Linked DNA regions of Xenopus tropicalis. The protein of the gene in region 1 interacts with the protein of each later gene in a pairwise test. Links are inferred from orthologs where the notes say so. Each region holds a gene or a part of one and is shown in the gene's direction. Other genes may lie near its edges.

Evidence for each region. The genes of interacting proteins can lie anywhere in the genome.
Region 2: the proteins of tk1 (region 1) and aplp1 interact in a two-hybrid assay, tested with the Homo sapiens proteins (2 studies listed by BioGRID and IntAct). The link is inferred for Xenopus tropicalis from reciprocal best matches to the Homo sapiens genes TK1 and APLP1.
Region 3: the proteins of tk1 (region 1) and lrif1 interact in a two-hybrid assay, tested with the Homo sapiens proteins (2 studies listed by BioGRID and IntAct). The link is inferred for Xenopus tropicalis from reciprocal best matches to the Homo sapiens genes TK1 and LRIF1.

Annotation. Positions count from the first base shown.
Region 1 is NC_030686.2:26,185,822-26,189,961, forward strand, and holds the start of tk1 (thymidine kinase, cytosolic), read left to right. Parts: upstream 1-1,311; 5' UTR 1,312-1,329; coding exon 1,330-1,395; intron 1,396-3,484; coding exon 3,485-3,516; intron 3,517-3,904; coding exon 3,905-4,018; intron 4,019-4,140. UniProt on the Homo sapiens protein: Cell-cycle-regulated enzyme of importance in nucleotide metabolism. Catalyzes the first enzymatic step in the salvage pathway converting thymidine into thymidine monophosphate.
Region 2 is NC_030683.2:128,757,646-128,761,700, forward strand, and holds the start of aplp1 (amyloid-like protein 1), read left to right. Parts: upstream 1-1,202; 5' UTR 1,203-1,457; coding exon 1,458-1,526; intron 1,527-4,055. UniProt on the Homo sapiens protein: May play a role in postsynaptic function. The C-terminal gamma-secretase processed fragment, ALID1, activates transcription activation through APBB1 (Fe65) binding. Couples to JIP signal transduction through C-terminal binding.
Region 3 is NC_030678.2:178,774,884-178,778,887, forward strand, and holds the start of lrif1 (ligand-dependent nuclear receptor-interacting factor 1), read left to right. Parts: upstream 1-1,151; 5' UTR 1,152-1,445; coding exon 1,446-1,504; intron 1,505-4,004. UniProt on the Homo sapiens protein: Together with SMCHD1, involved in chromosome X inactivation in females by promoting the compaction of heterochromatin.

The DNA of each region.
Region 1 (4,140 bases):
CCGCCATTTGATCTATATAAAAGGGGTTATTTTTTTAAAAATGGGATGTGGTAATTGGGGCGTGGCCACAAAAGGGGGCGTGGTCAAAAATTGCCGTGCTGCGCGTGCCAAATCTTTTTGTCCCTCTTTTCATTTTTCAAATGTTGGGAGGTATGATATTATACTTCCTGACAATCTGATTAATACTATACAAACAAAGTAGTGAGAAACTGGGCAGTAGCAGTAATAGCAGGTAATATGACAAAGGAGAAAGTCAGAGACCTTCAGCGGGGCATGGAGCCCCTATTAGCTGGGCATGGAGCCCCTATTAGCGGGGCATGGAGCCCCTATTAGCGGGGCATGGAGCCCCTATTAGCTGGGCATGGAGCCCCTATTAGCTGGGCATGGAGCCCCTATTAGCTGGGCATGGAGCTCGTATTAGCTGGGCATGGAGCCCCTATTAGCTGGGCATGGAGCCCCTATTAGCTGGGCATGGAGCCCCTATTAGCGGGGCATGGAGCCCCTATTAGCGGGGCATGGAGCCCCTATTAGCTGGGCATGGAGCCCCTATTAGCGGGGCATGGAGCCCCTATTAGCTAGGCATGGAGCCCCTATTAGCTAGGCATGGAGCCCCTATTAGCGGGGCATGGAGCCCCTATTAGCTGGGCATGGAGCCCCTATTAGCGGGGCATGGAGCCCCTATTAGCGGGGCATGGAGCCCCTATTAGCTGGGAAAGCTCTCTCTGAAAATAAATATCTGCTATTGGCACAATTTTTTTTTTTTTTAAAAATGTATTTTCTTCTATTGCAAAAATTCTTACTTTGGCAAAAGGGACAGAGTTGGGGGGGGTGATTTTATTAAAATTGTGAAGCACTTCTTTAAACATACAGGCTAAGCGTAATACTAGTGCCAAAACGCGTCAGCCATCGTTCTAACAAGTGCCACAACCCACAACAGGATTTCGCTGCGGTATCAGCGGTAGATTTCATTGAAGCGTTCCGCAAGCTTTCCTTCATATTATATGCAACTGACCCTTGCATACTCCCTCGCTAACTGGAAAAGAACATTTACATTACAGGGTCCCACTAGTTACAAATTCATGTTTATTTAATTTTCTTTTCCCGCCACCTCCAACTCGTTTGCCAAACACCAGGCCAACCAGTGAAAGCTGAATCCCCTCCTTCCTCATCTTCATAACAGCGGGGGCTGTAGAATCCCATTGGCTAGCGTACACCATCGCCGCCTGTGATTGGACAGAGCTGCGCGGGAGAATGCACAGACGTTGTATTGAAAGAAGTGACTGTACCGGACACAGTCATTCCCGCGCTCTGCTCTCGCCTGGTACCGATATGAATTGCCTCAACGTACCCGAAATCATGCCAGGCTCGCCCAGCAAATCCCGGGGCCAGATCCAGGTAAGCCGGGCACAGCATTACATTTAGCCATGCAGTTTACTCTCCAGATGACTTGTCATGAAGTGAAGTGATTTGTAGTTCTAGGAGAAACTGGCTGAGCACTCTTGTTATATGACAGCTGCAAGGGAGTTTTTGTGTTGTATCTAGCCTAACACATCTTTATGAGAGGCCCCCTAAAGGGAACGTGTATTAATAGTGGGCTCAGGTGCATGTATAGATTATATTTGCCCTCAGTATTATACACCAAGGGCTGTGAGGCACAACACACTGCATCATGCAGCTCCCAGACATACATCTTGTATATAGACTTACATTTGGGTTAAGTATATATTTAAGTGCAACTGTACAGGGCAGGGACTTTGTTCCTTATTAGTGGGGTTATCATTTTTATATAAGTACCCAAGGGCATGTACCAAATGTGGCAGCCTTAGGGGTTGCACTCTGGTGCCTGGAAAGAACAAAACAAAATATATCCCTGCCCTTGAAGCTTATGGTGTGTGCCAAATAATTCTAGCAGTAAGTGGAAAGACTGCTAAGAATTCTGGTTTTTAGGGTAGTGGCACATATGGCATCATAGGGGCTGGGATTCAAAACAGAACCTGCTATTTCAAGCACACAGAGGCCTAAACAGCCAGGGACAGGCTCCAGAAATAGTGACTGTTTGTGGCATGTACCAAAATCTGCAGATTGGCAGTCTGAGCCTGATATTCAGGGTTATTTTCTAGGGGGGTTTATGGCACACAATGAATTCACTTTCTTTTGTATGTGAGCCCCATAAAGTGTTGGCAAAGACTATTCCCAGTGTCTTAGTACAGGGATCCCCAACCTTTTTTTGCTTGTGAGCCACACTCTGCTGTAAAAAGTGTTGGTGGGCCACACAGGCATGAAAAAGGTTTTTGGGGTTGCCAAATAAGGGCTGTGATTGGCTATTCGATAGCCCCATGTGGGCTGCTAGCCTGCAGGAGGCTCTGCTTGAAGTAAAACTGTGTCTCTGTGATTCCAAAACTTGCCTCCAAGCCAGACATTCAAAAATGAGCACCTGCTTTGAGACCACTGGGAGCAACATCCAAGGGGGTGGGGAGTGACATGTTGCTCAGGAGTCACTGGTTGGGGATCACTGTTGTAGTAGTTGGGATTGGGTATATATCATATGCATTCTTACAGAGTTTATCTATAAATAGAATACTAATGCTGGCAAAGGATGGAATGCAGAATTGTGTTTTGAACAAAGGTTTGACTGAATACACATTCTGTAGATAAAAGGTTCTACATTCCACAACATAGATTCTACATTCTGCCGCACTCACAGGTGGGGAGGAGAGCGGCGTTTATGCTGCTCCTTTGTTCTCCAGCCCCTAGGAAACAAGCAGTATTGTAAAAATCTGGTCTGTGTGCTAATTTTGAAGTAGTTGAAGAGACTGCCATGACTATTTTATTTATTATTTTCATTTTGGGGCCTTTACATTTCACGGTCTTTGGCGAACCTTTGTATGGATACAGGGCCAGAAGACCCGTCCTATTTATAGTGCCATACAATGGTACCTTTATCACATTTTGAAGATAAAATACAGAGAGGTTTGAGTTAGTTTTTACTAAAATTTATTAGAAATCCACTTTAGCAAAGCATTGCTACCACTGGAAATTATTTGGCCATGCAATTGTATGCTGATTTCTGCTGCACTGCTTTGAAAACCTGCTTATGTTTGGAATTTATGACCTGTACAAGTCAGAATTCTGGTATTGGCTCATTCGGGAGACATGGGGCCTTCCAGATCAGTGAAATATAAAATGCTTCTGATATATACTTCTGTATTGTATAGAAATTATTTTTATCATGTTACAGAAGTGGAGTTGCACAAAGACTCTGAGAATGTTAAGGTTGTCCTAACAAAGCAATGGGCAGTTTCAATATGTAAACTAAAAGACAAAATGCCCCAAAGAACACAAAATGCTCAAATTAGCTACATGGTTAATGATAAAAGATGTTAAAAAGTATACATGTCCATCAAATGAAAGTGTATATACCATGACTGCTATAGTTGGTTTGTGTGTTAATTTGTATTTCAAACCCATTTGTTTTTACTTTTAGGTGATATTTGGGCCAATGTTTTCTGGAAAAAGGTGAGTTCAAAGGACCGCGCAATTCTATATTCTCTCTCATGAGCTGTAATCTAGATGTTCCTTATTGAGAACAGTGTGTTGCTATGGCAATGGGGCACGCTACTTCCAATGGGCTAAAGTGCTTTGGAAGGAGGGCAGTAGGGGAATCAGTCTTGGTCTGCGTTGGGACAATTCTTCTTTTTTTTTTTTTTTTTTTTTTTTTTTTTTGAATGGATGGTGGTGCTGTTTGGTATTTGCTCACATTGCATCCATTTTTAGAGTGCTGCAGTATGTATTATAGTAAGCCTTTTTAAAAAAGTATGTTTATTGTCCTTTAACTGCTGTATGTCATCGCATGAGACTGCTTATTTTCCTATTCTGCTGAACAAATTTTCTGTATATTTTACAGCACAGAGCTGATGCGCAGAGTGCGACGGTTTCAGATTGCACAGTACAAGTGCATGCTTATAAAGTATGCGAAAGATACACGCTACAGCAAAGAGCATCTTGCTACACATGACCAGTAAGCAATTTTACACATTCTGTATTGTTAAGCTCATCTTATCTACATATAGAAATATCGCATATCATTGGTTGTGGTACATTTGTATTTACTGATTTTAAAAAGCATGCCCAAAAATCATA
Region 2 (4,055 bases), on another chromosome or scaffold:
CTGCCCTATATATTAGGTACCTACCTAGTGCTACCAACTCCTATTTCTGTAGGGAAATGAGAGCAGAGCAGGCAGTAACCCTTCCAACACTTTCCCCTGTCTCTGCCCCTATATATTAGGTACCTACCTAGTGCTACCAACCCCTATTTCTGTAGGGAAATGAGAGCAGGGCAGGCAGTAACCCTTCCAACACTTTCCCCTGTCTCTGCCCCTATATATTAGGTACCTACCTAGTGCTACCAACCCCTATTTCTGTAGGGAAATGAGAGCAGAGCAGGCAGTAACCCTTCCAACACTTTCCCCTGTCTCTGTCCCTATATATTAGGTACCTACCTAGTGCTACCAACCCCTATTTCTGTAGGGAAATGAGAGCAGGGCAGGCAGTAACCCTTCCAACACTTTCCCCTGTCTCTGTCCCTATATATTAGGTACCTACCTAGTGCTACCAACCCCTATTTCTGTAGGGAAATGAGAGCAGAGCAGGCAGTAACCCTTCCAACACTTTCCCCTGTCTCTGTCCCTATATATTAGGTACCTACCTAGTGCTACCAACCCCTATTTCTGTAGGGAAATGAGAGCAGAGCAGGCAGTAACCCTTCCAACACTTTCCCCTGTCTCTGTCCCTATATATTAGGTACCTACCTAGTGCTACCAACCCCTATTTCTGTAGGGAAATGAGAGCAGAGCAGGCAGTAACCCTTCCAACACTTTCCCCTGTCTCTGTCCCTATATATTAGGTACCTACCTAGTGCTACCAACCCCTATTTCTGTAGGGAAATGAGAGCAGGGCAGGCAGTAACCCTTCCAACACTTTCCCCTGTCTCTGTCCCTATATATTAGGTACCTACCTAGTGCTACCAACCCCTATTTCTGTAGGGAAATGAGAGCAGGGCAGGCAGTAACCCTTCCAACACTTTCCCCTGTCTCTGCCCCTATATATTAGGTACCTACCTAGTGCTACCAACCCCTATTTCTGTAGGGAAATGAGAGCAGGGCAGGCAGTAACCCTTCCAACACTTTCCCCTGTCTCCGTCTGTCGCTCGGCTCCTGAATATTTCATGCCATTTCCTTCTGGTTTGGTGGAGAATGATAGAAATGTCCGTAGAAGGAGATTGGATGCTGGGAGGAGAGGGAGGAGGAGAAAGGGATAGAGAGACAGAGGGGAGGAGAGATAGAAAGAGACAGAGGGGAGGAGAGAGAGAGAGAGAGAGAGAGAGAGGGAGAGAGAGACAGATGAGGAGGGGGATGGGACACGTCTTTGTATAGCAGAACGAGGCTTGTGAGGAACAGACCCATAGAGATACCCAGTGCCACTGGCAGCCACACATGTACCCACTGCCTCCGTGACACCCAGAGACCCACACACAGGGCGAGCCACCCTAGGGTGCCACAGGCACATCCTCAGCGGCACTGGTCCTCCCTGCTCCATCAGCATCACTCCCCCAGGAGAAGGAACCATGGGTGCATCCGAGAGACTAAAGTCCAGCCTTCTGCCTGCCAGCTGCCTCCTTCTGCTGGGTGCTCAGGTGAGGGGGCTCTACAGGGCCATATTGGGGTGGGTGCTGGGTGGGCGACGTTGCCTAAGGGCAAGGGGTGAAAGGAAAGGTGCAGACAGTGGGCACAGCTGGACTGGGTGGAGCCCCTCTCTATAGTGGCACGGGGGGGGGGGCAGCATGGAAGGATTCAGGTCATGTTTCTATTGGCTTGGCAGGGGGGGTTATTGTGATGAATTGCCCCCACCAACCCAACGCTTCATGTGGCAGCGAAGGGGTTAATTCACGTGTGATGGGTGCGCAGGGAGTAGGTATTGATCTGGAAGCGGGGGCGGATGGGGCATCAGCAGGGGCAGTTGTGCTAGGGCTGGGGGGGCTGGGAGGGGGGGATCCAATATAGATTGAAGGGTCCTGCATGGGGTTAATGTTGTTTTCTTCATATGACACCGATATCCATAATAATCAATAATCCATAATCATAAACCCATAGCCCATAGGGTTGTGCAGCATACAAGGCTTGTCTCAAGAGCTTACAGTCTAGAGGGACACCCTACCTCGCCGGGTGGTGCTAAAGCGTGTAGGCTTCTGTAAAAGCGACATGCAAAATACTGGACTCAGGAGCTCACAATCTAAAGGGTCAAGGTGGCCGCCAGTTGGAAGGTAAAATGGGGGGAGATCAGTCCGTGGCCCTCCAGCCCCCACATACATAGAAATACACATTTATTAACAATGGGCAAAACTGCACCAATGCAGTAACCCGTAGCAACCAATTAGAGGTGTCAGCCTGCAGTCGACAGATATAGTGTAAGTGTAATTGCTGATTGGTCGGAAGGGGTTGGTGCAGTGGTGCCCACTTACCTGTTAGTAACAAAAAATGTATCTGGATTTCTAAAGCTACGGGCCAGGGGCCAATGGCACCTCTGGGCACAAGGGAATGCTGGTTGCCAGGTCTGATTCAGGGTAGTAGGTCCCATGGCACAATAGGTCTCCCCCATTATTTATACACAATAATACGGCCCAACCTTCTGCTCACCCACTGTTGTGTAACTATGTGATTTCTGCCACTTCAACAACAACTGAAGGGCTACAGGTTGGCACCACGGTTACTGTCACACAGTGTTACCGGCCCAGTCTTACCCTACCCACCACCTTGCCTTCATTCCTTATCTTCCCCTACTGTCTCCATCTTCCCCTACTGTCTCCATCTTGCCCTACTGTCTCCATCTTGCCCTACTGTCTCCATCTTGCCCTACTGTCTCCATCTTGCCCTACTGTCTCCATCTTGTCCTACTGTCTCCATCTTGCCCTACTGTCTCCATCTTGCTCTACTGTCTCCATCTTGTCCTACTGTCTCCATCTTGCTCTACTGTCTCCATCTTGCCCTACTGTCTCCATCTTGCCCTACTGTCTCCATCTTGCCCTACTGTTTCCATCTTGACATCTTTTCCTACTGTCTCCATCTTGCCCTACTGTCTCCATCTTGCTCTACTGTCTCCATCTTGCCCTACTGTCTCCATCTTGCCCTACTGTCTCCATCTTGCCCTACTGTCTCCATCTTGTCCTACTGTCTCCATCTTGCCCTACTGTCTCCATCTTGCTCTACTGTCTCCATCTTGCCCTACTGTCTCCATCTTGCCCTACTGTCTCCATCTTGCTCTACTGTCTCCATCTTGTCCTACTGTCTCCATCTTGCTCTACTGTCTCCATCTTGCCCTACTGTCTCCATCTTGCCCTACTGTCTCCATCTTGCCCTACTGTCTCCATCTTGTCCTACTGTCTCCATCTTTCCCTACTATCTCCATCTTGTTTTACTGTCTCCATCTTGCTCTACTGTCTCCATCTTGCCCTACTGTCTCCATCTTGCCCTACTGTCTCCATCTTGTCCTACTGTCTCCATCTTTCCCTACTATCTCCATCTTGTTTTACTGTCTCCATCTTGCTCTACTGTCTCCATCTTGCCCTACTGTCTCCATCTTGTCCTACTGTCTGCATCTTTCCCTACTGTCTGCATCTTGTTTTATTGTCTCCATCTTGTTCTACTGTTTCCATCTTGCCCGACTGTCTTCATCTTGTTCTACTGTCTCCATCTTGCTCGACTGTCTTTATCTTGCCCTACTGTCTCCATCTTGTCCTACTGTCTCCATCTTGTTCTACTGTCTCCATCTTGCCCTACTGTCTCCATTTTTCCCTACTGTCTCCATCTTGTTCTACTGTCTCCATCTTGCCCTAATGTCTCCATCTTGGCCTACTGTCCCCATCTTGTTCTACTGTCTCCATCTTGCCCTACTGTCTCCATCTTGTCCTACTGTCTCCATCTTGCCCTACTGTCTCCATCTTGTCCTACTGTCTCCATCTTGTTCTACTGTCTCCATCTTGCCCTACTGTCTCCATCTTGGCCTACTGTCTCCATCTTGCCCTACTGTCTCTATCTTGTTCTACTGTCTCTATCTTGTTCTACTGTCTCCATTTTGTCCTACTGTCTCCATCTTGTCCTACTGTCTCCATCTTGCCCTACTGTCTCCATCTTGCCCTACTGTCTCCATCTTGCCCTACTGTCTCCAT
Region 3 (4,004 bases), on another chromosome or scaffold:
AATTAAATAGGTAGCTTTTGGCAGAGAGCCCAGAAAGTTAACAAGCTTCACCTGCACTGAGATACAGTGTTTTCCATATTTAATTAAATAAGTAGCTTTTGGCAGAGAGCCCAGAAAGGTAACAAGCTTCACCTGCACTTAGGTACAGTGTTTCTAACATTTCATTAAATAAGTTTTTGGCAGAGAGCCCAGATATCTTAACAAGCTTCACCTGCACTTACATACAGTGTTTTCCATATTTAATTAAATAAGTAGCTTTTGGCAGAGCCCAGAAATCTTAACGAGCTTCACCTGCACTTAGATACAGTGTTTTCCATATTTAATTAAATAAGTAGCTTTTGGCAGAGAGCCCAGAAAGTTAACGAGCTTCACCTGCACTGAGATACAGTGTTTTCCATATTTAATTAAATAAGTAGCTTTTGGCAGAGAGCCCAGAAAGTTAACGAGCTTCACCTGCACTGAGATACAAGTGTAACTAATAAGCTAAACGGGTCTCTTGGGGGAACTGAGACTTTTGAACAAAACTGTAATAACACATAAAACCCCCAGAAATGTGTTCAAACTTTAACCTGCCAAATGTAGTCACATGGGAGAGGTACTTAGGGGGTGTGGTCACAAAAATGGGCGTGGTCAACAAATGTTGCTGCATTTCCTTTTGTCCCTCTTTCCATTTTCAAAACGTTGGGAGGTATGTAGTATGCACATTAACAAGCAACACTGTGTCACTGTGACTATATACAGTCAGTAATATAAGTGAAAGTGTCCCTATGTATACACACAGCAGCACAATGGCTGACTCCTCCCTACATGGGAGCCAAGTGGCGCTAAATCGCTCAGACCAAGCGCAATAAAGATACATTCAGCCTCAGTTCTGAGCCCTCTCTGCCTCTAACACTGCGGCCCTAACACCCCGCTAAGCGGCGACTCAGAACCATACACTTCCTCTGAGAAAACAAAAGCTTCCGCTCAGCAAACCGGAACTGGGATTTTTTTCTAGACTGGCCGGAAATCGCGTTGCCGGAAGTGGCACAGGAAGCAGAGGCGCTATTGGACGTGACGCGCAGAGCCAATGCAAAGAGCCAATGAGTCCGGGCGAGGAAGGAGTGGCTTCCGGTAGGCTGAGCCGGGAGAGCAGTAAGTGTTCCGTACGGTGCCAGTAGGTTGGGGCTGTGGGTGGCGGGCTCGGCGGGAGCAGTGCGGCGCGGAGAGAGTGAGGGGCCCTGTGTGTGCGGAACCGGAGAGTGTGTGACTGAGCCCTGAGCGGAAAGGGCGGGAATCCGGGGCTCCATCAGGGGGCGCAGTGTTACTGTTTGTCAGGGGAGGGGCGGTGTCAGCCCGACAGGGGGCGCTGTGTGTATCGCGGGGAATGTCAGTTTGGGGAATTATTGCTTTATATTTCCCCCATTTGGGCGCCGTACTGCGGCTTCAATAATCCGGGCCCACCCATGTCTCAGTTCCAGCAGCTGGGGGTGAACTCCCAGGAGAAAACCGCCCCCACCCAGAGGTAAGTGCCCCTAGCGGTGCTGTATATACCCAAGCCTGCTGCCCCCTAGCGGTGCTATATATACCCAAGCCTACTGCCCCCTAGCGGTGCTATATATACCCAAGCCTACTGCCCCCTAGCGGTGCTATATATACCCAAGCCTGCTGCCCCCTAGCGGTGCTATATATACCCAAGCCTGCTGCCCCCTAGCGGTGCTATATATACCCAAGCCTGCTGCCCCTAGCGGTGTTATATATACCCAAGCCTGCTGCCCCCTAGCGGTGCTATATATACCCAAGCCTGCTGCCCCCTAGCGGTGCTATATATACCCAAGCCTGCTGCCCCCTAGCGGTGCTATATATACCCAAGCCTGCTGCCCCCTAGCGGTGCTATATATACCCAAGCCTACTGCCCCCTAGCGGTGCTATATATACCCAAGCCTACTGCCCCCTAGCGGTGCTATATATACCCAAGCCTGCTGCCCCCTAGCGGTGCTATAAATACCCAAGCCTGCTGCCCCCTAGCGGTGTTATACCTACCCAAGCCTACTGCCCCCTAGCGGTGCTATATATACCCAAGCCTGCTGCCCCCTAGCGGTGCTATATATACCCAAGCCTACTGCCCCCTAGCGGTGTTATATATACCCAAGCCTACTGCCCCCTAGCGGTGCTATATATACCCAAGCCTGCTGCCCCCTAGCGGTGCTATATATACCCAAGCCTGCTGCCCCCTAGCGGTGCTGTATATACCCAAGCCTGCTGCCCCCTAGCGGTGTTATACCTACCCAAGCCTACTGCCCCCTAGCGGTGTTATACCTACCCAAGCCTACTGCCCCCTAGCGGTGCTGTATATACCCAAGCCTGCTGCCCCCTAGCGGTGTTATACCTACCCAAGCCTACTGCCCCCTAGCGGTGCTATATATACCCAAGCCTGCTGCCCCCTAGCGGTGCTGTATATACCCAAGCCTACTGCCCCCTAGCGGTGCTATATATACCCAAGCCTGCTGCCCCCTAGCGGTGCTATATATACCCAAGCCTGCTGCCCCCTAGCGGTGCTATATATACCCAAGCCTACTGCCCCCTAGCGGTGTTATATATACCCAAGCCTGCTGCCCCCTAGCGGTGCTATATATACCCAAGCCTACTGCCCCCTAGCGGTGCTATATATACCCAAGCCTACTGCCCCCTAGCGGTGCTATATATACCCAAGCCTGCTGCCCCCTAGCGGTGCTATATATACCCAAGCCTGCTGCCCCCTAGCGGTGCTATATATACCCAAGCCTGCTGCCCCCTAGCGGTGCTATATATACCCAAGCCTGCTGCCCCCTAGCGGTGCTATATATACCCAAGCCTGCTGCCCCCTAGCGGTGCTATAAATACCCAAGCCTGCTGCCCCTAGCGGTGCTATATATACCCAAGCCTGCTGCCCCCTAGCGGTGTTATACCTACCCAAGCCTACTGCCCCCTAGCGGTGTTATACCTACCCAAGCCTACTGCCCCCTAGCGGTGCTGTATATACCCAAGCCTGCTGCCCCCTAGCGGTGTTATACCTACCCAAGCCTACTGCCCCCTAGCGGTGCTATATATACCCAAGCCTACTGCCCCCTAGCGGTGCTGTATATACCCAAGCCTGCTGCCCCCTAGCGGTGCTGTATATACCCAAGCCTACTGCCCCCTAGCGGTGTTATATATACCCAAGCCTGCTGCCCCCTAGCGGTGCTGTATATACCCAAGCCTGCTGCCCCCTAGCGGTGCTGTATATACCCAAGCCTACTGCCCCCTAGCGGTGTTATATATACCCAAGCCTACTGCCCCCTAGCGGTGCTATATATACCCAAGCCTACTGCCCCCTAGCGGTGCTATATATACCCAAGCCTACTGCCCCCTAGCGGTGCTATATATACCCAAGCCTGCTGCCCCCTAGCGGTGCTATATATACCCAAGCCTGCTGCCCCCTAGCGGTGCTATATATACCCAAGCCTGCTGCCCCCTAGCGGTGCTATATATACCCAAGCCTGCTGCCCCCTAGCGGTGCTATATATACCCAAGCCTGCTGCCCCCTAGCGGTGCTATAAATACCCAAGCCTGCTGCCCCCTAGCGGTGCTATATATACCCAAGCCTGCTGCCCCTAGCGGTGTTATACCTACCCAAGCCTACTGCCCCCTAGCGGTGTTATACCTACCCAAGCCTACTGCCCCCTAGCGGTGCTGTATATACCCAAGCCTGCTGCCCCCTAGCGGTGTTATACCTACCCAAGCCTACTGCCCCCTAGCGGTGCTATATATACCCAAGCCTACTGCCCCCTAGCGGTGCTATATATACCCAAGCCTGCTGCCCCCTAGCGGTGCTGTATATACCCAAGCCTACTGCCCCCTAGCGGTGTTATACCTACCCAAGCCTACTGCCCCCTAGCGGTGCTATATATACCCAAGCCTGCTGCCCCCTAGCGGTGCTATATATACCCAAGCCTGCTGCCCCCTAGCGGTGCTATAAATACCCAAGCCTGCTGCCCCCTAGCGGT